Linked DNA regions of Lytechinus pictus. The protein of the gene in region 4 interacts with the protein of the main gene of each other region in a pairwise test. Links are inferred from orthologs where the notes say so. Each region holds a gene or a part of one and is shown on either strand. Other genes may lie near its edges.

What was found.
Region 1: the proteins of coiled-coil alpha-helical rod protein 1-like (region 4) and nucleoside diphosphate kinase 7-like interact in binary tests that used the Homo sapiens proteins (3 or more experiments, as listed by UniProt). The link is inferred for Lytechinus pictus from reciprocal best matches to the Homo sapiens genes CCHCR1 and NME7.
Region 2: the proteins of coiled-coil alpha-helical rod protein 1-like (region 4) and kinesin-like protein KIFC3 interact in binary tests that used the Homo sapiens proteins (3 or more experiments, as listed by UniProt). The link is inferred for Lytechinus pictus from reciprocal best matches to the Homo sapiens genes CCHCR1 and KIFC3.
Region 3: the proteins of coiled-coil alpha-helical rod protein 1-like (region 4) and mitotic spindle assembly checkpoint protein MAD1-like interact in binary tests that used the Homo sapiens proteins (3 or more experiments, as listed by UniProt). The link is inferred for Lytechinus pictus from reciprocal best matches to the Homo sapiens genes CCHCR1 and MAD1L1.

Annotation. Positions count from the first base shown.
Region 1 is NC_087260.1:9,045,488-9,053,147, forward strand, and holds the start of nucleoside diphosphate kinase 7-like, read right to left. Parts: upstream 3,154-7,660; coding exon 3,031-3,153; intron 1,960-3,030; coding exon 1,793-1,959; intron 560-1,792; coding exon 519-559; intron 1-518. Other genes in the region: RING-box protein 2-like, read left to right, coding at 4,650-4,875, 5,767-5,814, 7,643-7,660. UniProt on the Homo sapiens protein: Possesses an intrinsic kinase activity. Displays 3'-5' exonuclease activity with a preference for single-stranded DNA. Does not seem to have nucleoside diphosphate kinase activity.
Region 2 is NC_087246.1:61,474,628-61,482,566, reverse strand, and holds the start of kinesin-like protein KIFC3, read right to left. Parts: upstream 3,187-7,939; 5' UTR 2,867-3,186; intron 1,208-2,866; 5' UTR 1,083-1,207; coding exon 1,059-1,082; intron 1-1,058. UniProt on the Homo sapiens protein: Minus-end microtubule-dependent motor protein. Involved in apically targeted transport. Required for zonula adherens maintenance.
Region 3 is NC_087254.1:35,629,303-35,637,114, reverse strand, and holds the start of mitotic spindle assembly checkpoint protein MAD1-like, read right to left. Parts: upstream 3,306-7,812; 5' UTR 3,034-3,305; intron 498-3,033; 5' UTR 475-497; coding exon 399-474; intron 1-398. UniProt on the Homo sapiens protein: Component of the spindle-assembly checkpoint that prevents the onset of anaphase until all chromosomes are properly aligned at the metaphase plate.
Region 4 is NC_087259.1:8,053,302-8,060,823, forward strand, and holds the start of coiled-coil alpha-helical rod protein 1-like, read right to left. Parts: upstream 3,271-7,522; 5' UTR 2,751-3,270; coding exon 2,693-2,750; intron 833-2,692; coding exon 706-832; intron 1-705. Other genes in the region: probable palmitoyltransferase ZDHHC24, read left to right, coding at 3,820-4,671. UniProt on the Homo sapiens protein: May be a regulator of keratinocyte proliferation or differentiation.

The DNA.
Region 1 (7,660 bases), on a different chromosome or scaffold from region 4:
TGATTATGGATGATGAATGATGATGATTATGGATGATGATGATGATGATAATGATGACGATGATGGTGGTGGTGATGATAATGATGATGATGATAATGATGATGGTTATGATAAATGAAGATGATGATTATGGATGATGAATATGGATGATGATGTTGGTGGTGGTGATGATGATGATGATGGTGGTGGTGATGATAATGATGACGATGGTGATGATGGTGATGATGATGATGGTGGTGGTGATGATAATGATGACGATGGTGATGATGGTGATGATAATGATGGTGATGATGGTGATGGCATAACTTTTAAAGCATCAAATCCACTCTGCATTCGCTATGCACTGTGCACTCTGTTTTTAATCCATATGAACAACATTACATAAATCATGAATAAAAGTTCAGGATTTTGTAAAACAAGATCTTCGTTAAGTCAACCATTGTCTTCAAAAGACAAACTTAGTTTAGTAATTTACAAAACAAATAATGTATGAAAAATAAGTGTTTGTATATACTCACCAAATTTTGAAATGGCATCAGGTTTGATCAGCCCTAATGTCCTGAAAAAGAATGAAATGAAATAGATCATATTGTATTCCACAATATAGGCTACTATCTAACCATAAAAAAAAGATCTAGAGGAATTACTGAGAGATTTTCAAAGAACAAGTAGAAAACAAGTTTTAAATTACTTGATTAGGGCATGACGACCCTGAAACGCAAAAAGATAGCGCCACAAATTTTTTTGACTATTTTCTTTGAAACCTCGCGCAACTTTTGAGACCAAATTCGCAACATACGGGTATATGTGTACCGTAAGTCTAAGGGAGATATGACCTTTGACCTTGGTCATGTGATGTGAAACTCAAGCTGAATGTTCAGTAATACTTGATTAACCTTATGTCCAAGTTTCATGAACTAGGTCCATATATTTTCTAAGTTATGATGACATTTCAAAAACTTAACCTTAGGTTAAGATTTTGATGTTGATTCCCCCAACATGGTCTAAGTTCATTGACGCTAAATGACCTTTGACCTTGGTCATGTGACCTGAAAATAATGCAGGATGTTTAGTAATACTTGATTAACCTTATGGCCAAGTTTCATGAACTTGGTCCATATACTTTCTAAGTTATGCTGTCATTTAAAAAACTTAACCTTCGGTTAAGATTTGGTGTTGACGCCGCTGCCGCCGTCGGAAAAGCGGCGCCTATAGTCTCACTCTGCTTCGCAGGCGAGACAAAAATTGGCTTTCAAAACTTTTCTTTGTGGAAACCTTTAAATTAGATTACAAAGGTGACATCTGGAAAAAAGAAGAAGAAAATTTGAAGTGAAATTGGGTGTTAAATATGAAAATGTTTTTCACAAATAAATTTACATACTTTATTCATAATAAATAAAACAATTGTTTTCAGAATTTTTTTATACCTGTAGGCTCGTAGTTTCTGTGGTAAGGAATGTGCATGCCAAATATTGGCGTGATCGCGCAAATGGCGGCCAAGATCAGAAAAAGGGGGGCATCATGCCCCCCCTAAGTCCAGGGTACAGGTACATCTCAAATAGTCCAGTTCGTTTAGGGTTAAACATATAGAGGAAACATTGAGAGATTAGAAGAAAAAAAAAACAAGAAGATTATGAAGTTTTAGATTTACTCAATTCCCAAGCATGATACCATGTTGAAAAACTCTAGTGTACATGTAAGATGAGATCAAACTGGCATTAGACCAAATGGCAAGGATTATTAGAATTAGACCAAATATGGCAACTCGTTATTTTTGCTTATAAATACTTACTTCTGTTTGACATTTGTAAGCGCTCTCTTCGTGAAATCATCAGCATACTCAACCAGGTTCAGCTGACGTGAGTGAACATTAACAGTACTGCCAACAAAGAGGTCTCTTAGATGGACTGAATCGCAATGTGATCTCTTCAAGAACTGACGTCTATTCTTTAGGTCATACTGATAAAAAAGAAGGAAACAAGATTCAAATTAATTGAATTAAAGACCAAGTCATCCCAATGACAATTATCATTTGAACAAATTAAGATAAAACTGACAATTTTTAGCGTAATATAAGGAAATAAATAAGGCTGTTACTTCTCTGTTTTTATATAGATTATGCAAATTAAAATCAAGGTTTGCCATAATTGTAAAATTCAAATTCTTCAGTGATATGTACAAAACATATAAAGATTGCTGCTTCATCATTATAAGTTTTGTAAATCAAGTAAATCTTAGAAAAACATTGCAATTAATAGATAATACAAGCACTATATATGCGGATTAAAAACCCTTATTTTGAATACATGCTAAACACAGTAAACAGATGTGAATGGAAGATTTTTAATTGATGGACAGTTGTGTTGTTCATTGGATTTGCTTTGATTTTCATAAATTTAACTGTATTTTTGATTCAGTAATTTCAGAGGCTATTCATAAATTTAAACCTGTCTGAAAAATAATTGAGAAAGATTAAAATCTAACTCAACTTGTGATTGATCTAAATAGGTGTACCGTAGAAAATGTTGCATCAATTGCAATTCGAACTAGATTTTAATCTATTTCAGCTTTTTGCAACACAAGTCCCAGACGTAGGACAGGAATATCAAGTGCCGAAATACACGTATGTGTAGATTCTTAAGCTTCAACAAACTCTTGAGGTTTTTAAACAAAAGTGCGACAGTTTTTCCTCATATCAAAAATTTGGACAAATGTTGGATCAGAATTCATTGTGTTACAACATCTGACTTCATTTTATTTTATCAAATAATTTAAGTTACAAGGTTTCCCCTTCATACAATAAACAGTCATGTCATCAAATTCATGAAACTGTTCATTCATCAAAATTGAATCCCCACAAATTTGGGTTGCACATTTTCTACGTTGGGGAAGCGTTTGAGACAGGGGCCAATCTGATGCAAAAAAAATGCATACTGAGTAACCATTGCCATCTGGGTGGAGACGGGCAAAATGTGAATTTGTTTGTTTAGCAAATATATGAGATGACCAAGGCATTACAAACAAGCTTACCATTTCAATGGTGTTATCATTAGGGTAGAAGAGGAACTGATATCGTCTGATAATAGCTGCATTGTTGTCGTACCATTCACAAATGAAAGAGTAGCGACCATCTTGGGCAGAGCTTGCCTGCATGCAAAAAAGAAAGTTATTTGATAATATTAAATTATTGTACTTTTACAGTGCTTAATACATTGGAACCACATTTTTAGTGCTTGACAGATATAGGATTACCCCACTCATCAAATACTGGTATTCCGCAGGCAATGTACGCACTTTCTCCATTCCCTCAGAGTCTAGTCTTTAATTGGTGAGAGTAATCTTTATCGTATCTTTCGGTATCAATGATTATAAATGTTTCGTTAAACTATATTTTGATGACGTTTGGAATCATAAAAGTCCGTATAATTATCATCATTTTACAAAGTCAAAGAAGACCGTTATGGTTTACTTTTGTAAACTATTAAAATTGGGTCTCCCTGGGGTACCCATCTGAACGTCCACAACTGTACAAGTGATTTTTTAGTCATGAAATGAATTATTCATAATTTAATTTTCTCTACAATTGAATGCTCCAGTCTTCATGGTCTAAGTATGTATGATGCATAATTTACCTGTGCTAGTAAGTAGTATTTTGAAAAGATTTATTTACCAATTCATCATAATATTTGCAATTTTGCCATAATTTTTCTTTTTGAAAATAATGCTATTTTGTGACGGCGTCTAACTGACTCTAAACTTGTCTAAGGCAAGCCTAAGGCTACGTCTCGTTTGCTCTTTTTACCGATAGTATCGATATCAAGGAATTCTAGCATGTCTAGTTAGGAAGACTTTCGATGAAACAGGTTTAGTAAGATTGGAACTAACTCCGTGGTTGGTGGATAAAGATATAACTTGTCCATGTGTTGAGAAATTAAACGGGCCCCTGCTCCACTTCCTCGAGCGCAAGCGAGCCTTTGCCTCGGCCTCGGCGGAGGAGCTCCGCCTCCGCATGCCGCTCGGCTCCAGCTCGAGCTCCGCAGCTTGCAAGTTAATAAGTGGAAATAGGCAACTAATGAATATATTACATATTTATTTGATACAGTAGCCACTATAAACACTCACCATTGTTAAGCTTGTGTTCTAAGCAGTCTTCTCTCCTGAAAAGTGGAAAGTTCGATAATTCTAACAAGTAAGTTTGAGACGGTCTGCTGCAAAATTCGTTTGAGGTTGTCAAGCAACAAATTTTGAGTAAATCAAAAGTGGGGTCAGATTAAGAATTTTTTTTTTTACAAAAAAAGGATTAAAAAATTTGCGTTTGAATAAACAAAAATTTTGTAATGGATTATTATTTTTTTTGTAATAATTGATTGTAAAAAAATATAAAAATCAAGCAAAATATAAGTAATAATATTCAAGTCTTTAAAACTTATCGGCACCGTTATAGATAGGTGCGCGCCCTCTTCGTTAATTAAATTATAGGAGTTTGAGAAAGTCGAGACGAAAACAGAGACTTGTAAGACGTATTTTCTTGATTGTGAACGGTAATTGAAATGATCAAATCCATGAAACATCATCAATAAATCGACACAAGTGTATGTGCACTGCTCTTCTTAGCTTGTTCACGTGAATCTGAAGAAACAACGAGTAAGATGTCGATACCTCGACCTGCCGCAAATCCGGAAGTTGGCAGCGGGGGATCTACGGGTCTCGGTCCATCAGGAACGCCAGCGGTAACCGGGACTGGGACGTCGGCGAACCCCAAAAGTACCGACCAGAACCAGAGACTATTTTCCTTGAAGAAATGGAACATTGTGGCGATGTGGAGTTGGGATGTGGAATGCGATACTTGTGCAATTTGCAGGGTTCAAGTCATGGGTAGGTGTTGTCTTTTTGAATGCCCACATTCCACAATTCAATCTAAATTGTAATTAAAAAAATATAATATACCGGTATATATTTTCATTTTTTTTGTGAGACTGACTGAGCTGAGACTCGGACTGAGTTTGAGAAAGTGAGAGAATCAATCTAGGCCTATGCTATATGTTAAAAATAAATTTTATCTTCGTTGAAAATATAAACGCCGGCCAGTCACTTTCACTTTGTCTTTGAAATAAACAATGATTGTCGGCCGGTGGCGTACCGCCGTAATGCATTCCCATTAATTATGTCTGACATGAGCCAAAAATTTTGAGGGGGCCAGATGTTAGACGTGGCATATCGGACAAAATTCATAAAGTTGAGAGTGAGTGAAGCGAGTCGGAGTGAGCGAAGCGAGTCGGAGTGAGCAATAATTTTGACACTTATTACAAAAATCCAATTTTTTATGGATTTTTACAAAAAGAATATTCAGATAATAATATCATATTTCACTCTTCATGCCTTTCTTTTCTTTCCTCTTCTTTTTTGTGAATTGTGGTCATAAATTTGTCTCTTTTTTTCATGGTTGTGATGTTAAATTTTTTTGGGGAAGGGGCAATTAATTTAAGTGCCCCCAGCCCCCTCTCATTCGTATGCCACTGATCATTGTGCTCCATGTCTCTTCATCCATTCACCTTACTAGATTATGATTCAGGTATTTTGATGAGGAAGGCAGTATTTCTTCTCTTCAGTCATGTTTGATATTCCTTTAAAATGCGTGTGCTTGAGTCTATTTGCCAAGTTTTCATTTATTTAATTGTGCTACATGTATTGAGTATGAGTATTCCATTGCCAGCAAGCTTAGTTTGCAAAACCTCACAATAAACATATGTAATTATTTTCTTTCAGATGCCTGCCTAAGATGTCAAACAGAAAACAAACAAGAAGAGTGTGTCGGTAAGCCAATCGGTCATATTCCAATGTAAAGGCCAAGTGAAGTCCACCTAAACCTGAAGTCGATGTGAATTATAAGAGGAAAATTACTTGTCTATAATTTAATCAAAATCATGTTAACAAAGTTTGTTAAATAGGAGAGTGACTGTGACAGAAATTCATTGTGACTCTGTGGGATATTTGGTATTGCTTTTTCATTTGCAAAGTACATGTTTCTTATATTTTTTTTCAATTTTAAGTTTTAATTTTATCCCATTTTTTTAAAGTAGGGGTAATACTGATACATGTAAGGAAGCTGTTAAAGATTTTATCAGGCTAATTCTATCAAACCATTCTTTGACATTTTTCTTTATTTATCTTCATGCTTTGCAGGAATAGGTAATGAAATGTTATGCAGATGGAAACTTGTTGATAATTAGTTAAAACAGAGATGTATTGATTTGGTTTTTAAATATAATTGGGTTTATTATTCTAATTCTGTCCTTTTCAAAACAATGTCCAGAATATTTGGTTAATTTTCATATCTATCATACTTGAAAGTGCAATGTCGCCCTCTGCATTTTCTGAAGTGATATCTCATGAATTGAGCTGCTGAGTGCAATGTATGCATATTACATGTACAAGAAGGGCCATTTGCAAGAAAGTTGTACTAGTAATCAATTATCAATTATTTTAATAATTCACGCACTACATGCCTGAAAATGTAAAAAAAAATCAATTGATATTGATTAGCTGATTTCCATAGTTTCAAGTTCAACTGTTTTATAAATGCACATCCAATTGCCAATAATTTTCTTGCCATGCCCTCCCTCCCCCCCCCCCCCCCCCCCCCCCGTGTAAAAGTATCTCCATGTAATTCTTATTTCTACATCTCCGTATCAATCCCTTTACCGGTCTTTTTCAACTTTATCTTTTCAAGCTACCCGATGAAGCCTCCCCCCAGCCCTTTCTCAGTTTCCTCGTGTCCCAGGCGCATATCCAGCATCAGATTCTACAAAGCATTTCATGGGCCCAATTGTCTGGGGACAATAGGGACTCTATTATGCTTGTGCATGGGCCCATACATTTCTTTGTCTTAATTGATGCTGGATACACTAGTGTGTCCCCTCCATATTTTGTTCAATTTTATTAAAGGTCAAGTCCACCCCAGAAAAATGTTGATTTGAATAAATAGAGAAAAATTAAACTAGCAAAACGCTGAAAATTTCATCAAAATCGTATATAAAATAAAAAAGTTATGACATTTTAAAATTTTGCTTATTTTTCACAAAAGAGTGGTATGCACAACTCAAATGAGACAGTCGATGATGCCCCTCACTATTTCTTTTGTTTTTTATTGTTTGAATTAAACAATATTTCATTTTGTATAGATTTGACAATAAGGACCAACTTGACTGAATCATATAGTATTTAAACAATGCCCATTCCACATGTTCAGGGAGGAATTAATCGTTGTTTCACTTGACAATGAGGAGAAAAATAGAATATTCCCTATTTCATGTAATACAATACAAAAGAAATAGTGCGTGGATGACGTCTTCAGTCTCCTCATTTGCATACCCACCAGGATGTGCATATAACTGTTTAGTGAAATTAAGCAGAACTTTAAAATGTCATAAATTTCTCATTTTACATCTGATTTTGATGAAATTTTCAGTGTTATGTTTGTTGGATTTTTCTCTTTTTATTCAAATCAACTTTTTGTTGGGGTGGACTTGTCCTTTAAGTTTCAACTTACATGCATTTCTCTTGTCTTGTTCGGTAGAGCTTCCTGTAGGTTGCATGTTTTTCCTCTTATTTTCATCCGTTCTTCTCTTTCTCTTTGATGCAGTTGTGTGGGGCGAGTGCA
Region 2 (7,939 bases), on a different chromosome or scaffold from region 4:
TATAATGAATTCCAACAAATTTAACAAAATGAGAACAAACGCCAGAATTTGAAAATATCTGTTAGCTTTATTCTGGGTTCAGTGGGGTGTGTATTGTTTGATAATTACCCACACTTGAAAAGCTCCAATAATTAGCATTTTGGGCAAATTTACACCTATTGCTAGGGTTAAGTAATTGTTTCACATTTTTAGATAATAAGACACAAAATTTCATACATTTTAAATGATTTTGTTCATTCAAAATGGTGTTCTGTCCATTAAAAACACAAAGTCCAAAAATTTTAATATCCAAGGGAGATATTTTAAATACATGAATGCACAGCTAACCAAAAAATGGGGGAGGGAGTGTCGGTAAGTTTAAAGCCATCAATATATCATTTCATAAACTTACAGTTAAAAAAAAACACTTTACAATAATATTAATCATCTCTAGGACAAACCATCGTCAATGGACATAAAATTTAGCACCCATTATCAAAGGAATGCATGCATTATCTGACCTTTCAAAGAGCAGAATCAAGTGCACTTTAAACATGAAATTCTGCTTCCATCTAGGTAAAAGTTTATTCACATTTGTAAATCGGGGCCAAATTCTTTTTTGAGAGCATTTCTTTAAAAATCATAATTTCTATAATATTTTTGACAGAAAATTAGTAATTACTGGGAAATTAACCTAAAAGCAGGCATTTGAAACTATCGCAAGAGTGCTTCAATATCTATGAAAACATCGAAAAAAAATTATATTGATCAAACAACCAATAATCTACAGCATCTCTCTCTTCTCATCTGTTCCACTTTAATAGACAAAATAATAGTAATAGGGACTTATAATTCAATCTTTAACAACATGCCGGATAAGCTTTTATTGGTTTGTCTTTTTTACTATATCTATACAGCATGTATCAAATTAATTCATCAGAGAAGTAACTTTGATCCATATGAAAATAAATATCCACATATCAATCACTTCATGATTATTCATATAGTTTACATCCCTGTATATTGGTGATATGATGCTTAAAAGAGAAAAAGTAATTACAAGGAAATGAAGTACTTACTCTGGGACTAGTATGATGATACATGGTGAGGATCTGATGGATTTCTTAATCAACACTTATTGAAGCCTGACATGCACTTTGAAGATATCAAGTCATACTCGGTACGTTTGTTACCAATACATGTATGATCATCATCACGAACACACCATCTACAAGAAAAATCAAGAATAGGAAATAATGCAGACAGAAAGCTGGACACAAGAATCTGCAACTCAAGAAAGATGAACACGATCATCCTACATGTATATGCACTGGCTATTAGGTTTTTATACATGTAGACCTATAGATATAATAAACTAAATTTTGTTGGCTGACATGCCCAGTAGTAATCCTCAAATTTGCAAGTCCTACAGTACCAAGCCTAGCTACCAAGGATATAGAGTCCACAAATGTGTCATCAATCATGGCGATAACATTGTCGGGTCAGATTTCTTCACTGAAGGCCTACTGATGAAAAGGCATACATGTAGTACATATGGGTTTGCATCCCACTTTCAAACTTGCTTGATTCAATTTATTTTTTAGAATTATGAATCAATACCTTTTATTCCGTAAAAAAAAACTTACCCCGGTAATTCAACAGAATTTAAGGATAAAAAAATTGACTTATAGGCCTATTCACTTGGTCTGGAAGAGTAAATGGTAGCTAGCTAAACATACGGTACATTTAAGAACGAATTGGGTCAAAAAGACGGACTGAATCCAAATCAGTGTTTCCACAGATCCAAAACAAATTTCCAGAAACTGAATGCCAAATTTCCCCAAATTCATAGACATTTCCTTGAAGTTTCAAGATTGATTTTTAACAAAAATACAAGTAGGGCAATAATAAAGCAAGCCTAAATTTGGTCTAAGTGACCAAAATCAAGGAAATCAAAGTCAAGGTACATTTTTTTTGTGTACGCCCTCTTTTAAAATAGGAAAAAAATTATGAAATGTGAGCGCGGAGCGCGAGCAGAAAATTTTGAGCTACATGAATATTAAAAGTTGCTACGTTTAATTATTGTGAATTGTAATTTTTGGATTTCCCAGAATTTTTTCATTTCCCAAACCTTTCCTAGAAAAAGTCAAAATTTCCTGAATTTCAGGAAAAGTGGAAACACTGGGCCAAATGCAATAAATTACAAGTATAAAAATCATGTGCCTAAAGGCTAAAAGTATTCCAACTTCCAAGGATGACAAATAAATTCCACCGATACAGATATCAGACATACATGCACTATAAGTATACATCAAAATACTTTCAAGGTTTTCTTTTAAAATATGGGCATCTTTCCATTTCCAGACAGTGCAATCTATTGAGAGCTGATCGCCAACCCGGCCTCAAGAATTGAGGCGGCTATACAGACGAATCCCCATACAGACAGTATACCCAGTTTTTGTGTGTCCGGACAGGTTGTGTGTCCGGACGATCAATTTTAGGAAGTCATTTGAAAAAAAATCACAGGCGAAGTTTCATCAATTTTTAGTACAAAATGTAGGAAATATTATAGAGAACAAAATAGAAGATGATTACAACTATTGAATTCATATTTTTAGGGTAATCCAAAGACAAAAAAGAAGGCTTCAAAAATATAGTGTCCGGACACCCAACCCCCCATCCTATCCTACCAAGACAAAACTGCACTGTCGCACACACTCGACACTGCACTGAGCTGATATTGATTCGAGACCAAAGTATTCTGCTATAAATTTTATCCTTATACTCGAAAAGTCGAGATATCCGGATTCTAAAGCAATACAATTTGACATGAAACTAATGCGAAACTCATTTACATTTAAATTATTATGATTTGAGAGCTACTTACCACGCAAATAAATATTTCCTTCCTTCGATAGAGTTGGCTTCCAAGTCACCGCACTGGTCTCGAGTCAAATCCTCACGAGTCGAGTGTAAAAGCTCGATCGACCGGGCCGGCCGGTTGCGTTGCCGGTGACACGCACAGGAGATCCTGAGCGTTCCTAGCGATATCGCAGTTATGGAGACGAGACGCTTTTGATTGGAGGCGATGAGGATTGAGGGCAATAAAGAAGCCGGATGTGTACAATACACTGAACTGAAAATCAGTGGTACAATACAGTGGTATCCGCCAGCCGATCACTTTGGAATTTGAAGACGGCATACCTGTATAGGAATCAGCTTGGGGGGGGGGGGGGGATGACCCTTGGAAGCGGGGGTGCTGGGGGTGAAAGCACAACAAAATTTCCTTGAGGTGCTGTGTGTAGTATTCTCCATAGATGTGTAAAAATGGAATAATGTAACCAATATGACTTTCATTTTGTAGTGAAACTTTATTTTTTTGCTTTTCAAATTTTTCTCCAGACCAATTTTACTTCCATTTTGTAGTGAAAACTTTTTTACATGTACTTACCTTTGTGAATGACAATTTCTAGCATTGACCCCCAAAATAAATAAATAAATAAATGAATAATAATAAAAGCGGGGTGCACGTGATCACCAAATAACTTTCCCCGTAATTCCAACAACAAAAATTGATAAGGTGCAACAAATTACCCCTGTGCCTCATCAGTTTGTATTATAGGCCGAAAATTCACAAAATAAACGATGTTTTGAAAACGTAATAAAACAGAATATTGGCTTTAATCAATAACCTAAATTAAATGGGGTCAATTCAAAAGTAAGATAAGCCTAATGAGAGAGAAGTATAAATAATTATGTAGAAATATAGGCCTAAATGAGCTCACCGCGGGTACCCTGGTAAAAGGCCAGCGGATGGCAGTGCAAAAATTGCATAAGACTGAGGGGAATTAAAAGAAGCCGATTGAACAAGATCATTAGGCTTGCACTTTGGTAACATGACATCGGGGCTATTATATAGAAATATACATATAATGACAGCGGTACCAACACTGGGCGAGTTGAGAGTGTAACATACAATGGCATGATTTAGGTCGGTCAAAATAGTGAGATCGATAGAAATGCGCGTGCAAATGAAACAAAACTTTTGAGTTAAAGGGATGGTCCGGGCTGGAAGTATTTATAGCTTAATAAATGGAGTAGAATTTACAGAGCAAATTGCCGAGAATTTTATCAAGATCGGATAACAAATGACAAAGTTATTGAATTTTAAAGTTTAGCAATATTTTGTGAAAACAGTTGTCATGAATATTCATTAGGTGGGCTGATGATGTCACATCCCCACTTGTTCTTTTGTATTTTATTATATGAAATTAGGTTTATTCAATTTTTTTTCTCCCAAGAACTAGAAATTTTGGATTGACAACTGATTTAGTGCACTAAATATTTATTGCTGCAATTTATTTCATTATAAGGGAGACATATTATTCACACGAGTATGAAATAATGAAAAAAATATGATTTTATGTAATAACATAAGAAAACGGAAAGTGGAGATGTGACATCATCAGCCCACCTAATGAATATTCATGATGACTGTTTTCACAAAATATTGCTAAACTTTAAACTTCAATAACTTTTTTATTTGTTATCCAATTTTGATGAAATTTTCAGCATTTTGCTTAGTGAATTCTACTCTATGTTTTAAGATATAAATATTTTCAGCCCGGACCATCCCTTTAAGTGAGAGAGGACCAAAATGAGTGAGTCTCACTCTCAATGAGTGGGAGTTGGGAGCCCTGTGAAGTGGTGGTGGTGGTGGTGATGATGATGATGATAGTGGTGATGATAGGCTGCTGCTGCTGCTGGTGATATAGGGATATAGGCCATCAGCGGCGGAACTGCGTGGCCAGGGGGGAAATTATGCCCCCCCCCCCTTGCCCAAGAGATATTTTGTTAATCGATCATCAGAATCAGTGGCGTTATAGGTAGAGGCAAGATGTCTCTACATTTAAGGAAATGGGAAAATCTAAATTAAAGGAATATATAGGGAGAGTGAGGCGGATCGATCGAGGTATATATACAGCGACAGACAAGACCACAAAACAAAAAATAAATAAACAAAAACACAGAAAAAACGAGAACAATACGGAGGATTGGAATCCCTTCCATGTAGAGTAGGCATAAAGGGGAGGGTGCTCCTATACCTGGGGACGTGGGGGGGGGGGGGGGGCGGGGGTGGGAGGTAGAACATCACCTTTTTATATATTTTTTCCTCTCTTGTCATTTAATATTTCATTTTGTAATTGCTGAAACGCATCAGTATTAATTTCCGGTATCTTTGAAGTTTGATGTATAATTTTTATAATTCTATGGGTTATGGATTTATTGCATAATTTATAATCATGTTTCAAATAATTTGTACAACTTGCTTATGGAATGTGAATGTGTATTTTGATTTGAGAGAATACAATAAAACATCCTTTAAAAAGATTAATATTGCGATGTTAATGAATGGGTTCATTTCAATTAAAAAGTGTTTAAATTGACCCATTATGCATTTTAAAAACAAAAGATTTTCTCGAGCGGTCACTCCGCCCCTTTACGGAATGGCCATGACAAATTCCACTGTTAGGCCTTATTGCAAAGTTTTTATCAGCTGCATCACGAGAGTATGGTTATAATGAGTTACTGATCACAAAATGCCTTTAATAAAACATTTAGGACAGCATTCAGGGGGGGGGGGCACACTAAAAGCGGTATACATTACAAGTTTTTATTATGGCTCTCAAGGGGAAGGGGCACACGGGCCGGCTGTGTCCCTTCCTGTATTATTAAAATTTAAATCAAATTTTATAAATATTTTATTGTGAATGGAATTATTCCCAGAATTTCAATGTTGTCTCATCTCTGAATATGATTTCAAAGATCATTCATGTAAATATTACCCCTTTCTGCATTATTTTCCTTTTAATTTCGATTTCTGTACTATTTTTTTCGGTTTTGGATGTGTTTATCAAACATTGTCTGTGGTGGCCCATGATATATATTAAAAAGGCCCCCTTATTCCCGATCATGGTCCCATCTTTTTTTCCATTCTAATCTCACCTCTCACCAGTGAGCCTGAGTTCTCATTAAACAAATCTCGACTCATTATAATCCTCATTTGCTCATAATTTTTTGGGGTACTTTTGTGAATTTCCTTATTATCTTATACGACTGAAGCAACCTTTGCAACAGACAATAGTCATTGAAAAACAATATTGTGATAGGCCGTCACCAAAAGTGGAAGTACATGTTTTACGAACGCCTGATTACATAGTCCTTGATGTGGGGTGCCTCCGAATTTTCAGCTCATCATCGCTGCGTGCGAAAAAGAAAGTTACCATGGTAACATTATCGACAATTTCTAGGATGAATTAATTACTAGGGGTGTCCACTTTAAAAATCGTTTCGTAGAAGAGAACTGCATGTAGAACAAAAACAGTAGTAGCAAGAGTCAACTGAGATATGAGAAGAAATGAAGAATACAAGGAAGAAGATGCTAGAAATAATAATAGATAGATAGAATGATAGATAGATATAGATATATAGATAGATAATTAGATAGGTATATAGATAGATCATTGATTTGTTGGTTGATTGTTTGATTGATCGGTTTATTGATTGATTGATAACTTGATTGATTGATTTACTTATATTATTGATTGATTAATTTCATTTCCCAAGTCATCCTAAAGTAATTGATTTTATCCATCAAATAGTATGCTTGAACAGGATAACCCACGAAAGCTCAGAAGCTTATTTCCAGAGATATAAATGGGGAGGAGAAAAATAAATCACCCAAAACACTAAAAAAAAACTTACAGCGGAGAAATCTGTACTTCGATATCATTGCATGGACACCTGCATTTTTATTTTATTGTCATTTTTATTTTATTGCTATTCGATAAGCATAATATATAAGCATGCTCTTTCATAAATGTTTTGTTTCTGGAATCATTGTATCGTATTTTCATGATTTTTGTTGAATTTGACTTTTGTACATACTAAATATATATATAAGGATTATCAATTTCAGAGAAAAAAGAGTGAGTAGAAAAGCAAGAGGTTAACGGAGTTTTGTAGGGTATAAGAGGATCGAGGTCCGAGAGAGGAAGGGTTAGAGACGCAGAGGGAGGGCTGACATAAAACTATTTTGAAGGTAACAAAATATTTGGCTTTAGTTACAACTTATGACTTTATGTGGTGTATTGAGCCAAAATTATCAATGGGGCCAGATTCGGGAATTTGTGAAAAATATATGCAAGGGAGAGAAGTGAATGGGCAAAATTTGTGACCTTTTTTATGATATAAAATATGATTCTGGGATAGATTTTGACTATTGAAAACTATCATATTTCACCTTATTACCCCCTCTTTTTTCCATTTTCTCCCTTGTCTATACACGATAGTATTTATTGTCAAATGATTTCAATAAGTGCAACATGTGCATTCTGAAAATATGAGCGAGCAAAAATTTCAGCATTTTTATGACACAAATCCATTTTGTGATAGATGTTCACATTCAGAAAATAAAATATTTTACTCTTCTCCGTTTCCTTTTCTCTTTTTTTTTCTTGGTCACAACTTTTTTTTTTTTTTTTTTTTGGGGGGGGGGAAGAGCCCCCCTTCCCCCCTTATGTACGCCCCTGCTAATGAGCAAATATGCTAGATTTATCCAATTTTTTTTCATGGCTGCATCTGCAAAATCTTGTGAATCAGATTTTTTTTCTCTAAAAATGTATAATCAAGTCAAATTAAACATCATTGCACCATTGGACAGAGTAAATGTTCCTCTTTCATATTAGTCATTTATTTTGTATTGACTATTTTGATAAATAGTGAATTTCAGGCATGAATTTTCTTCCCCTGTTTTCTTTTGCAAATCATGCAAAACCTTTTATTTTGAGTCTTAAGTTAATAATATCTATATTATCAGAAGCTGGAATTCTGTACTTTCTCACAATGTCACTCTTGATATGTGGCAACTTTTAATTGGGTCTAGATCACACTTTTCCCA
Region 3 (7,812 bases), on a different chromosome or scaffold from region 4:
GTTTTTTTTCAAAATTGCCTTTGTCCTTGTTTTGGAATATTTTCTGAATGCTCTACACGATACTTAAGGAATTGTGAGTCAAAGAACCCCTAAATATCTGATATTGGAAATTTCAAAAGCAAAATGAAACTCATTTCAAAGAGTTGTTTTGATTTATCAGTGGACGTCAGTACTGAAATAAGCGTAATATTTCTAAGCGGGATTTCTCTTTTTTTTCTCGCTTCAATTTCTCGGCCCGTAAACATTATAATCATAATGCAGTTGCGTGGGCGTTATTATTTTATTCTGTCTGTTTGTGGCTCTTAGTTACTCTACTGTATTTCTGAGAATCCTTTTAGCTATGAAATAATTACAAATGCACTATACCGACTGAAAAGGTAAGTTCAGCTGATACTCACCTATATCCTTCGCAATAAAGCGATCAAAGTCCCCCATCATCCTCACAACCATCGTGTTGTCTTCTGGGCTCTGCATCTTGTCTTCAACCACTATCCTATCTGAAAATATAAGAAAACTTTATTTTACCAAATGCAATGAATAAGAGTATTTAATCTATGAATGAGCTTTATGTATTGCATTGGGGACTAACTCTACTAGAGCATGACATGCAAGCATTTCCTACAGACCCAAGCCAATCAGAACCCACATATATGCTGGCTCAATGTCCAATGGCTTTTAAAAGGAGAATGAAATCTTTGGACAAGTAAACTTGTCTGAAAGCAGGAAGATGAAAGAATAAGATCAACAAAAGTTGAGGAAATACGTGATTATAATTATTATCATTACATTTTTTTTATTATTTATAATATCACGTATTAAATTTTAGTATTTGTTAAATAATAATTTTTATCTATAAATTGTTCTTCAAAACGGCATCGCTAGTCGGATGTACGTCATCACGAAGCGGTTCAAGGGTCAGGTCTATTGTCTTTGCTTTGTTGACAAACGGATCGAGCGATCTACAGGAGATCGGGTCTGGTAAGAAACGTCTCATTTTTACCATTTATAGTGAAATAATTTTTATCCCTTTATACGCATTAGGCACCTGAAGGTTCATAGATAAATAAAATTCGACCCTACAAACCGATTTCACCCTCTAACTATTGATTTCCTAGGGAAATCCATCTTTGTGTACTTGTGTCTCTTATATATGGACGGGGGTTCAAGACTCCATGATGAAGAAATATATGTCAAAATATTAAATAAAATATCATCATGGAGTCCTCAAGACTAGGTGTCTAGGTCTCGCTTCTGCATCTATGGGAAGAGTGTCAAGGCTCCATAATGAAGAAATATATGTCAAAATATTAAAAAAACATTATGGAGTCCTCACCTCAAGGCTAACTCTAGCCCCACTCACACGTACGGTATTGCAAGTATTAGTTTACTATACAACAGTTAAGCCTAGAAGGCTATATCTAACTTTAGATCTAAATCATGTTAATGCCTGGTAATATGGTATAATGGAATACAACTTAATTTCCAACATTTACACTAACAACAGTCAACAGTCATGACAGTTGTTAAGCCTAGATCTAAGTTTTTTACCTCAAGTGATATTCGTGTCGGTTCCACTCCAGTGAAGTGGAGTGGAACCTAATTCTGAGTGTTAACGTTACACGAGCATCACTATCTTGAGGAAGCCCAAGGCCAAGAGTCTAGACTCTAAGTAAGAGTTAAGACTAGCCAAGCGGCTTCTAGAGAGTAAAATCATTTACTAATGTAAGGTTACTCTCATACGAAGCCAGGGCTTCTATCTCATAGACCCACACAAAGCTAAGGAAGCCAAAACCTGAAACTTTCACCCCCGAGATTTCTACTTTCCTTCTAAAAGATCTAGCTCTAAATCATGTATGGTTGGGGGTCCTAAAGCTACGCGGGTCCTAAAGCTACGCACCACTCATCGCGCATGCAATTCCAATGGCAAAATAAATGCGCACTCTAGCTCTGTGTGTGAAGCTGTGACGAACGATCCCTATTCAATTTTTCTACAGAGGCTGCAATAAATCCTTAAATGCAGAGAAAACCAGCAAATGTTTGGAATTTCGGAGTTATATTCACTTTGATTTCATATTTTCCTATAATAATACGGACATATTTTAGAAATTGAGGCACAGGAAATACTATTTCTTTGCATGATAAATTGAGTCATAGCTTTAGGACCCCTTCTACATCGGGCGGCGAAATTAAGAGGTGTTCGGAAAACACGGCGGGATTTTCGTATTAGTGAGTTTTGTGATATTTTCTTCTTGGTTAAGGATATTTAGAATATTTATTACAAATTAGTGAAAAATAATTGTTCAAATATTACAATTGGCATAGTTTTTATCGTTTGGAAACAAAGTGCGTAGCTTTAGGTCCCCCCATCATACATGGGATAAAACTTCATTTCCGACATTTCTACGCTCTCGTTGTTATTTTTAAAACAAAAATTCATTAAAAAAATGAAAAAATATTGTGAAAAGAATTGCCCGATGTTTACGCCGCCATCTTGTTTCTTATTGTACTTCCCCAACATTACGGACGCGAGCGTCGCGTAACGTTGGGGAAGTACAATAAGAAACAAGATGGCGGCGTAAACATCGGGCAAGTCTCTTCCGTCTTTTCACAATATTTTTTCATTTTTTTAATGAATTCTTGTTTTAAAAATAACAATGAGAGCGTAGAAATGTCGGAAATGAAGTTTTATCCCATGTACACTACATGATTTAGAGCTAGCCTAGATCTTTTGTTTTAGAAGGAAAGTAGAAATCTCGGGGGTGAAAGTTTCAGGTTTTGGCTTCCATTGTGTGGGTCTATGGGATAGAAGGCCTGGCTTCGTATGAGAGTAACCTTACGTTAGTAAATGATTTTTACTCTCTAGAAGCCGCCTGGCTAGTTAAGACCTGAATGAAGATTGAAATTGAATTGAAATTTGAACATTGAAGACCCAAAAAAGTTATGCCCTATTTTTTAAATTTTTATTCTAACGAAGCCGAAGGGCCTACCGAAATAGGCCTAACTTCCTCCCGCCTTGACTTTGCGTCTACTCACACGTCACAGGAAAATCAAAAGGGAAGAGTTCCTCTCATGCTGTGTACAAACAACAAATAACCAGGTTGCTTTCTCATTCGGCTACTTTCATGAGCGGCTTGCTGCACAACGGGTGCGGGGCAAACACGGCGTCTAGCCAACTGTAGATCCGCTATAACCGTTGGGCTTGTCGAGCACCCGGGAACTCAGCATGCATGCACAAAAACAAATTACTGATCGCTGTCCGGTACTCCAAAAATAGAGGGCGCTCGACTTCTGAATCGACAAAAGCAGCTGCTGCAGCTGCAGTGTGGTTGGAAAAAAAAATAATTTCGCGTAAGTAGGCCTATATTTCTTTCTCAACAAAATATTCATATGATTAAATCCAGCTAGCCGTTATGCCATCTAAAAGTGAATTAAATCATTGATGACATTAAGCACTGACAATTATTTACCAGCTTATATAAGAATTGATATGAGGATTTGTTTTTTATTGGGGGGGGGGGCGGGGGGGTTTCTAAAATTCACTGCTAATAAAACAGAAATAAACTAATGAGTACGATAATATATTAGCTCTCTTTATTAAATGAAGATTATGGTGATAATACTATAAACTTACGAGAGTCTTGTTCAGAATAATCAACCTGCTTTACAAGTCAACCAATCAATACATACAGAGGCTTCAAATTGTCCCCTTGTCTTGATTTATTATAAGCTAGGAAACAATAGCGCATTTATTTTCAAAATTGGCGTTGGGGGCATGGGGGCTTGGGTGGAGGAGTATGGCCAGTCTGTTGGGATTTAAATGGAGAAAGCAACTTCCCTCTAACAGCGGCACGATTAAGTCAGATTTGACTCTTTCTGTGCTACATCTGACCCTAATCCAAGTCATTTAGGTCATAGCAACTTGGCGCGTTTTCAACGCCGTGCACCGGTGATGGCACTTCATTTTTTTCCCTCTTTTTTTTTGCCCCCAAAAGACGAAAACAAGGACCAGGGGAGCGTTTCATCAACATTTTTGTCCGACAAGTTGTCAGATCTGACAACTTTCCCTGATTCTGATTGGCTAAGAGGTACTATTACTATAGTAATAGTCGGATAAAACAGGACTTGTCGGATAAAGTCCTTTCATGAAACGCTCTCCAGATCTCCACCTCCTATATAGGGCTCGCCCAAAAAGGTTACTGATTAATAGCTAATTTGAAAGAACAATTCTGATTGGTTCATAGTGAGTCTACAGACCGAACAAAGACAAAGTGCGCTTATTACAACGATGATCTTGATAGGCCATTTCATTTAGCGATTTACCATAAGTGACACGGGACCCTCAATGCATGATTTTTGGATCCCCCAGGAAACTACCAACCTGTGATGATATTATCCTAGTTGTTAATAACCACGTGCTTGAAAGAGTCAATAATTATAAATATCTAGGTGTATGGATGGATGATACCATGACATGGCAAAAGAATGTAGAAGAATCAATGAAGAAGATTGGCTCACGGATAGCTCTTCTCAGTAGGCTTAGAAAATACCTCACGATTGACAGTTCAAACGTCTTAGCTAATTCACTTATATTACCGTACTTTGATTACTGTAGTAATTCTTGGAGCATGTGTGCACAGTATCTTAAGGATGGCTTAATCAGACAGCATAAGAAAACGGCCCGTCTAATCCTAAAAGTTAATTTTTCTACACCTATTGAACAGGTGCTCCATAGACTCAAATGGGTGTCGATTGAAGAAAGGTGGAAATACCATAGATGTAAAACAATGCACATTATCCTTAACGAGGAAGCGCCAATATATCTCTCTGAACTCGTAGTAAGATCTAGTAATGTCCACTCGTACAGAACTAGAAACTCAGTCCAGAATGGTGTAGTGGTACCGCTTGTACGCACACAGGCTGGAAAAAAGGCCTTTTCTCATAGTGCTGCCATTCTCTGGAACCAGCTGGATAGTGGTACCCGTAGTGCAGTCTCGAGGCAATCCTTCGCTACATCTTATTGGAGAGCGAGAAACTACTGAATTAAAATAACTACCCCTATCTGGCTGGTTCCAGGGACAAGCAAACAAATATTTAAACACAAACTTAATCAATAATCATATGATCATAGGGAATATATAGTTATATGGATTTGCATATGCACAATATGTTGACTTTTGTTCTACTTATACACACATGTATTTCAGTATGTCTGTATGTCCTGCAGGTTGCTTGTCTCTTTGAACATATTTTCTTCCTTGTTTCTCATTGTTTGTATTTATTATATGTATGCACATGTATTTGTTACTTGTATGCAGGGCCCCCAAGAAAAACAGTGCTTAGTCCACTGATGGGGTTACCCTGGGTAAACAAAACGAAATAAATAAATAAATAAAAAATGGTAAATCTAGGATCCACGACTGTTCGTGTTGGTAATGCTGTCTCGTCTGCACCAACTGAGTTCCCCCCCTTTTTTCTCCCATATTCAGGGGCCGCGGAACGGTTTTCAAAGTGGGGGGGGGGGGGGGGGGGCTGACCATGCAAAAAATCATAATCATATGGTCAATTTTACGTTTTACACGGTTTTGGAAAAAAGTGATGGGGGGGGGGCTGAAGCCCCTACCCCGCTTCCGCGGCCCCTAATATTTTTGTGCCTCTCCCTCTCATGCATATAACAGTTCAAAGAGAGGTGTTTAATATCTTAAACAATAAAGTTTAATTTTTTATAATTAATTCTCAATAACAGTGGTTGTTTAAACTGTTAAAAAGCTACTGTGAGGTTATTATAATAGTAATAATAATAATAATAATATGGGAATTTATATTGCGCACATATCCACCTTGTTAGGTGCTCAAGGCGCTCCTATATTACCCGGCTAAGCTAGGCGTTCATAGCGCCCCGGTACCCATTTACCTCACCTGGGTTGAGTGCAGCACATTGTGGATCAGTTTCTTGCCGAAGGAAACTACGCCATGGCTGAGATTCGAACCCACGACGCTCTGTTTCAAAGTCCGAAGACTAACCCACTGAGCCACAACGCTCCACATCGTTAGTAACATCGTTTCATTGTGTAAAGGCTGCTGCAAATTCGAACTTCAATGGGGGGGGGGGCATAAAGAAAGATTAGTAGGCTTACAAATAAAATTGCTGTTTAAATCTTATACAGCACAGTACAAAAAGTATATGAACATTACAATAGGCCTAATTGTTTAACAGTTTAAAAAACATACGCCCTAATTTGAGTATTGAAAATTAAAAAGTTTAATTGTTGAAGATTTTAAACATTATTTTGTTTAAACTATATTAAACAACTATTGTAAAGTTCAGATAGTAAACATCATTGCAGACAAATTTTAACCAACGTTTTTTCTGTGTAGTTTATTATATAGGATCAGATCTATTGTAGGCCTACTACGAACCTAGAACCTTCGTGATGAAAAAAAAATGATTTTCGGATTAAAGGAGGTACTCCAGGATGAAAATAATATGATTTGAACAAATAAAGAAAATTAAGATCAACAAAACACTGAAAAATTCATCAAAATCGGACAAGGAATAACGAAGTTATGGTATTTTAAAGACTTGCATTAAATAAAAAAACAGTATATATTTCTATGCATGTATTCATGAATATTCAATGAACAAACTGATGATATCGTATCCCCACTTATATGTTAATTCAATTTTTTCCTTCAAGAATAAAACAACAAGGTGGTTCACGAACCAAGAGTCTCGCCTGATATCGCGATCAATAAAACAGGCCATATGCAATATGATCTTTTTTACCTTATCATCCTCATGAAAACATGCGTGGTATTACCAAATGGTTATTTGTACCAAGTGTAAACACAATTGATGCAAAAATAAAGAAATGAGAGCCGAGACAAAAAATTGGATTCACACTAATATAGGGTATTACGTATCAATTTCTGCAACTTGTTTTTTTCCTTTTTTTTAATAAGGGAGACATTATCATACACATTATGCTTGATTTCATGTAATAACATATAGAAAAAAGAAGGCAGGGATGTGACAACGTCAACCCACCTAATGAATATTCATGATGACGTGCGTAATAACGGTTTTCACAAAATATATTGCTAAACTTTAATAGTCAATAATAAAAGATAAAAATAAAAACAAATTCAACTCTATTTATTCGTACTTTCAGACCGGAGTATCCTTTTAACGAAATTTGATGGTACTCGAAAGCCCATTGTTTATTTCAGTGGTTTTAATAAGTATTCTTGTTCTTCTTTAATCCCCTCTCCTCGCGCACCATTAAACCTCCAACATGACTATGATTTTTATTCTTCCCAAACACACTTTTATGAAAAATAAAGCAAATAAAGTTTTAGTATTTAACTGCATTAGGACTTATTGGAAAATAAAGAGGGGGGGGGGAGGAATGGGTGTATGTGATGGTGGATATGTGGTGAGTGCGAGAGAGAAAAAGAAGGAGAGAAAGATATAACAAAAGTGTTAGGAGTGGTGAAGAAGAAAAATTAATCATAACATAATTATACAGCCAAGCATTCGGCTTTAATCTGTTACAGAGCCATCGACGAAGTCTTAATGCCGAAAGCTTGGCTTAATTGTTTTCAGCAACGTCTTAATAGTCTTGTATCTTACATTATTTTATATATAATATATATATATATTTATATTTATATACATATTTATATATACATACATTTTTTGTCACATCATGGTCACTAACGAAGAATGTGACTTTATCGTTCATCTTTAAGAGCTATGCTCCTTTCAAAATCTATGATTTTATTTCTACGGCACAAATTTTGATTATCTTACTC
Region 4 (7,522 bases):
ATTCTTCTTCTTCATACTGTCAAAATTTGAAGTTATAAAATTAAACAAAAGACTTAAGAGTTTCTTTAATACCATTTTTTCTGGACTGCTGGGGAGTTTCACTAAGATTGCACAATGTGCACCAAGTTAAAACTGCACATCTCGTGATTGAGTGAATCCCAAACTTGAACCTTGTTAAATTCTCTTTATTCTTCGGGGCTCTCAGTAAATTTCTTTAACATTCAATCAAGCACTCTGTGTGGGTTATTGTTGATCAATTTTGACAAGTTATATTTTATTTTTACAACTTTTAAGTGTGCTTATTCATGCTCAATGAAAATCTCAAAATAAAATTCATTTTGGGTACCTTACATGTATTGTTGGTCTTGGGGTGGCAGGTCACAAATGACACTCTTCCGTGATATCATGGAAAGAATTTGATAGCTCACAATAACATCTTTCTCATGTCTGTGTTATCCCTTCATTGTGTATGTATATTTATCATCAAAGAAATAACGCACTGAACAATGAGTCTAATACTTTTAGTGGAAATAAGGACTTTTAGAACACATACTGGCTTATTCAATTGTTAAGAATGAATCAATGTTGCATGTTGAATCGATAAAAAAAAAATCAACAATTTCTACAGCTGTTTATTATACACTGTACATGTAAGTACAATCTTCAACAAGCCAAGAATAAAAGACATCAATGTTACGATCTTACCGAGGGGACTGTTTTCTAGCTTTCTTCGGAGAAGTTGTTGGTTCTCCTGAGACTCCAGTGACCTTGGGTGCTGTTTTGGCTGGGACTGTTAGGGCTGATGGGGGCAGCAGCTTGTAAGATGGTCCACCTAAAAATAGGTAAATGTCAAAAAATATACTTTAATTATGCTTCAAAATTAGGAAATTATATACATGACATTTAATCAGCAATTGTATCAAAATTAACAACCAACAATGCGTAATAGATCTATAACACACTCATAATTTTACAAGACTTCATTCGCATCTATAGAAATGCAACACTTCCCAAAGGGAATTCAATTTTCAAAGAGTAAATTGATATAGAGGGCTTTTAGAGGCAAAAGGCAACTATATGTATGTGTTTTCTAAAAAAGGTTTCAGTCAAAAAAGATTATTCTTTTGGTAAATTATAAAACTTTCCATATTTATACCAAAATGCAATGTGACAAGAAGATATTATTTTGTAACTAGTGTATAGAAATTTTCATTTTGCATACATATACAAGGACAGGGTTGCTCTGCGGCCTTTTTTAAATATATTTTAATGTTTTGTAAATGGTATTTAGCAATTATTTATGGTGAAAGCATATTATGTGTATCTGTGTTAAGGCTGTGTATCAATAAATCTTAATCATTTGATATTGAAGATCCTACTAGCCAAGAGGTTGAATAGGGGCAGCATGCAGCTAGGTTCAGTTCCATCACTTGAGAAGATCTCAATCCATGGAAATAGATTCTACGGTAGATCTATAGACCTTTATGCATATTTCAATTTTTTATTTTGCTCCTGCTCTATTTTGCATCACTTTCATTTCTTGTGGTGCATGGTGATCAATGTCATAATGTTACATTCTTTTCTTAGGAGTACCGGTATCTCATTCTCAGTATCAAAGATACTAGTACAAGGGGAAGATCGGACACTTCGACGATTTTTTGAAATGCTCGATAAATGCTTATGGGGAAGGGCGCCCAACAGCGTTGAGTAAGTAAACCTTCGCTTATCGGCATGCGACTGTGTATAAAACATATGGGGAAAATGAGAGAGGGGAGTTTGGAGAGGGCTCACATGGGAATAATTCCATGTTTTAATAGTACCAAGAAACCTCTGAAATATATTCATCTCAAATTTAAGGGGGAAAAATTGAATGAAAAAATTATAAAATGTAAAAATCGTCTATTTCTTCACCCCTTCACCATTTCTCTCATATGTTTTGTACACAACCATCTCGCGATACAAAAAGGTAGTTACTTACTCAACGCTGTAGGGCGCTCTTCCCGAGCGTTTCATTACACGGTCTATGTACCTTATACTATAGTGAGACCACCACATATCGACCACCTCTTTTGAAACCGACCACCTTGTGCGCATTAAAATTATTACGTATTACAAACGATATGCGCGGGAGAGTAGGCTCAGTTTGACACATCGTATAATATAGACTAATGCAAGGAGATGGCTACAAATTTTGACGCTTTATTATATAAGCGTTGAAGATCGCTATATTTGCCATCTAACTTTAATTATAAATACCATGAGAGAACAGGGGAGCGTTTCATGAAACTAAAGCCTTAAAAAAGGATTTGCCGGAAGTTTTATCCGACAAGTCCCATTTTATCCGACAGTTACCATAGAAACAGAGACTCTCAGCCAATCAGTATTAAGGAAAGATGTCAGATCTGACAACTTGTCAGACAAGAATGTTGATGAAACGCTCCCACTTTTCAGAACTCAAATCTTTCGCCCTGCCCGGCTGCCGGGCCGGGCCGGGGGCCGGGCGGCGGGTCGAGGCTGGGCGCTGGTTTGCTGCTTAACCAGAGCGGCTGCCAACATCCCCACTATGGCACTAAGTCGCTACTCAGTTCACGAACTTTTCAAAAGTTTCTCACATACAACGAGCAAAAACATTCAATAAAAAAAACATCATGAAATATGATGAACTGGTTTATAATGTTGTTACTATACTTACCAACGCCATAGCTAGGGGGTTTCATGAAATGTGCCGGATTTTTCAAAGGTCCCGCCATTATTTTGTTTCAGCTTCATCGCCTTTTCTCATTGATCATCCGACATCAGTCAACGACGAGCGGGCTTAAAATGAAAGTCTAAGAATTATTTGACGGACATCAGACGGAGTTGTTGAACAAGTTGGTGAGGTAAACCATTAAATTTCATTTTATTTAATAAAGTCTATGATTTAAGAACGAATTGGAGTGAATCGATATTCATATTCCCCAAATAATTTGTAAAGAATTCATTGGAAATTAAGCATTGCCCCACGTATTAAAATACGTGTCAGTATTCAAATGATTGTCATCATTGTGAATTGTGCGAGTTTTTGACGAACTCTGAGTCTGAACTTCATCAGTCTTCTTCTTCTTCTTTGTTGTTCTTCCCCTGGTATTCGAGGATCAGCGGCTATTCGCAGGTTGGTTGTTGTGTTGTAGTAATTTCAGTCACAATCTAATCACTCATTCACAATGAACAAGGTTATGTACTATAACTGTTCTTTGACTTTGTTCTCTTTGTGATGAAATGATTAAGGTTAGCAATGCCAATTTTGGGGCTTTGGCTTATTTTCTCTTTTTCTTGGGGACAAATTATGCTTGATTTTTTGACACTGCCAGTTTCCATTACAGCTATCCATCATATAACTTGGCTCTTAAGTAATATTTTTTCTAAATTAAAAATCTAGTTCTAGCCACTGAACTCCAAACGAAGTCTAATCCTTAACATGTTTTACTTAATTTTAAGGCTGAATGAAATTTGAAACCCAACCCTGAAAATCTGAGTCAAATGCAAATTGTACTAGTGCCAGCACTTTACATTCAACTGATATACACTGTTACAATATGTTTGTGGTGAAGTTTGTGGTGATGAAATTCAGAAATATCACATGCAAGAAGGGGAAGATTTTAAGTGATGCTTACTAATATCTGAAATTCAAATTTACTTTTAGGTCATTGTATCTGAATTGTTGTAATTAGTCTATTGACTATTGGACTTTCTTTTCATTTTCCATATTTTCTTAGAAACCCTAGAGGTCAGATGAGCTCAAAATTCATCTAAATCACCTATCCATGCTTCAGGAATATCATGGCCATGATAAAATGGGACGTACTCATACCAAAGAAAACTGGTGACAAGATTCCTGTGGCCTTTGTTCTGCTGGAGCTGATAATTGAGATTTTCTTTGAGTTATATGTAGTATTTCCAACCCTCTTTGAGCCATTTTCCCAGAGTTACAACATCCATTTATCAATCGGCCTCTTCCTCTTCTTCAACTTCATCGGCAACTTCTACCTGAGCATTGCCACTGACTTGACATCGGGACCAAATATCCTCCCGTCGGTTCTAAAACCGGACTGGACTTACTGCCCTACCTGCATGATCAACAGCCCCCCTCGGGCATCCCACTGTTTCATCTGCAACATCTGTGTCCTGAAGCGTGACCACCACTGCCTGTACACCGGAAAATGCGTAGGACACAACAACCAGCGCTACTTCATGATGATGCTGGTGTACTTTGCGCTTGGCGCCCTCTACGCCAACTACCTGAACATTGAGTTCACGTACGAGATGCTCAACAGCCTCAATTGGCGAGTGGTCGTTACGTTCTTCGCTCCCGTCATTGGATGGATCTTTGGATTCACGCAGTCTCTCTCCTTCCTAACTTGCCTCCAGTGTAGCACCTGTGTTATTTGCCTCATGTTATCGTTGGGAATGATTTACTACCATTTAGCGCTCATCCTTCGAGGGCAGACCACCAGAGAATGGCGGAAAGGGATCCGTCGGTACAACCGAGGTTGGTGTCAGAACCTGCTGGACGTCTTCGGGACCAGGTGGTACCTGATTTGGTTGTGGCCGTGGATCTCATCCCCACTGCCAGGGGATGGCATCCATTTTGTGAAGAGAGATAAGAATTTGGAGAATGTGAAAGATATATGACAAACCTGACACATGTTTTCATTTCATTCTACAGTGACAGAAGATCTTTTTAAACTTTAATTCACTTGCAATGATGTTTTTTGTATTGATTAATTACCATTTGTATTTATTACGTACAAATCATATGAAATTGCCTCAATATTCATTGATTTGTCAAATTCCTACTAATAATATCGTGAAATTTCTGTCAACACTACTTAAAATGTATTATGTCACGTTGCAGATATTTTCTGGATTTCAATTATTTGTAAATTATTGAAGATGTAATATCAGCATCTATGTACAATTAACTTTGTGTGCATTTATAGAACTTGGCAAACTATATTGTGCTGCTTTTGCATCCTCATCTCAAATGGGAAGGCATAGATTGCAGAGTTGTAGGCAGAGAGGTGTAAACCAGGATCGGGAAAATGTGAAACTGGTGGTTCATGTAAATACTGGTAAATACCTTCTCAATGTTATGACATTGAAAAGTTGGGATTTTTTTAAAGCAAAGACCCGTATGTAGTTAGAGACAATCATGGGTGTATTAATACATGATGCCATACCATTCAAGTTGGGGGATGAAACAATAGTTCACTTCCCCCCCCCCCCTTCCCCCTTGGTCAATCAATAGGTTCACTGCTTGAATTTACACCAGTGGGACAATGCTTGATATCTCGGCTATTCACACTGCTAAATTATTATTCATTATCAATGTTATCATTTTTTGTTTTTGATATGAAGCCCTCACCTAAATTCAGAGCCATCTTTCGAATAGGATTCCCATATAAAACAGCAGACAAAACAAACAAGGAAACCGCCATTCATGAAAGACACTAGGCTATGCTTTTGTAGGCAGGTTCAAAGGAACAATATATCTTTCTTGGTGACATTCCTTTGTATTATTTTGCCTGCAGATACATCTAGCTATTAGATTAGAATAGATTGGATTTGATTTGATAGCATTTATTCCATTCATTATAAAAAACAAAACGAGGCACATACAAAGTTAACATACATTACATGGGAAAATTGTGAATAATGCAATGATATCATCTGAGAGATGGGAAACAGAGATGGGAAATTCCAGCATGAAAGATGTGTCTCTGACTTTGATTAGATCTCTCATTGTTATCATTAAGTAGTATTATTATTATTATCATCTTCCTAATCATTGTTTACAATTGAATTATCAGTATTTCATATTTGTTTGAATAGTGACATGTAATTGTGCTTCGTTTTGGTTTCCATATATACCTTGGACATAAAACAGTATTCTTGATTTGCAGCTGGCTTATTGAATTTACACAGAATTTAATATTTAGAATGTACCAATATGTTCAGATTTTGATAATTCAGTAGTGATTATACCACGATATTGGAATGTAGACATACATGCAATATTCTTTTTTGCCTCGATTCTGTGTGGTGTCTTATAGAAGTACTCCTTCTCTTGGGGCGTCACGGCATTTGCTCCTGCGACATTTGGTCCAGTCTTATTATCTCAGAGGGCATAGAGTTAGAGTTAGGATTCTAATACATTTTTTGTTCAGAAAATCCAGATTTTATTGTTTGAAATAAAAATCCTCTGAATATAATTTGTTTTGCCCAATTAATTGTGGGCCCGGTAGCCACTGTGCAGCGCCAGATCGATGTTGCTATTAATTTGCCATAACATGCCTCCACTATTAAAGTCAGATGTACTGAAAGGTAAATCAAAATCTCCAACCTTTTGTGCAGATGGTGTAAAGGATCAAGTATGAGGAGCACTATTGTGTCTGCTATACTTATATTCTCCCATACATAATGTCAATTATTTATAAGAGACTTGCCAAAGCTGTTGCAGTTGTACAAGATAAGCAATTATACAAGTATGCTGTTTGTGTAAAAATTTAACAGATTTCTGATATATATTGATAAGTATTGAAAAAAATAATCTAGATTCTAGATTGACGGATGATTAGTTTGGTACATTAGGTAGACAGTTTGTACATTATGTAGGTACCCAGTTGGACAAAGAACAAAAAACAAAATCTGTTAACCTATTAGATTCTTTGGTGCTGCACATACGTTAGTTGAAAATTAGAGGAGGAAAAAAATGATTCTATACAGAATATATGTATATGCAGGAAGAATCCAATTTCCACCAACTTATTAGGATGAAATTTGTGAAAGTAGATTTGTAATGCCATGGTGTGGAGAAGTTTGTATGCAATTAAACCCACCTTATGCAAAATGCAGGGTAAGTTCTTGTTTAGAATAGATGATGGACTCTTGCTTACTACTTTACTGGCAGATAATATGGTATGTACTAAAATAAAAGCAGACATTTCACTTAAATTTTAACATTGTCAGAATTTAAATGCTAGTATATTTATCGATATATACCGTATGTAAAGAGTTGGAGACCTACATGTACAAAATAAATTAAGTCAATATGTTTACTGACCATTTTGACATGAGAATCATAAAGTGAATCATCGTTATACAAAAGTGTTGAATCAAAATCACTTTTTACGCTACTTAGACATCATGAAATATATGGAAATTTCTCTGTAAAACATTAGCATGAACGGAACACAAAATGTAAATTGTAAGTATTATAGAAAAATATGCAATAAGAATTAGATACAGATTTCATTCGACATTAGCACAATGGGATGTGAGCCTAATATTTTTCTTTTTATATGTATTGTTTGATACATTTATGCAATTGCCATAAAAATTAATGAAGACAGTACGATACCACTCACCGAACCTCTCCTTTGATTTATTGCAATTTACTCTAAAATATATATCTCTCAAAGCCGTTTTACTTTTGTATAGATAGTCTTTATATAAAAGCATTTGATCCAATATTACTTTATGC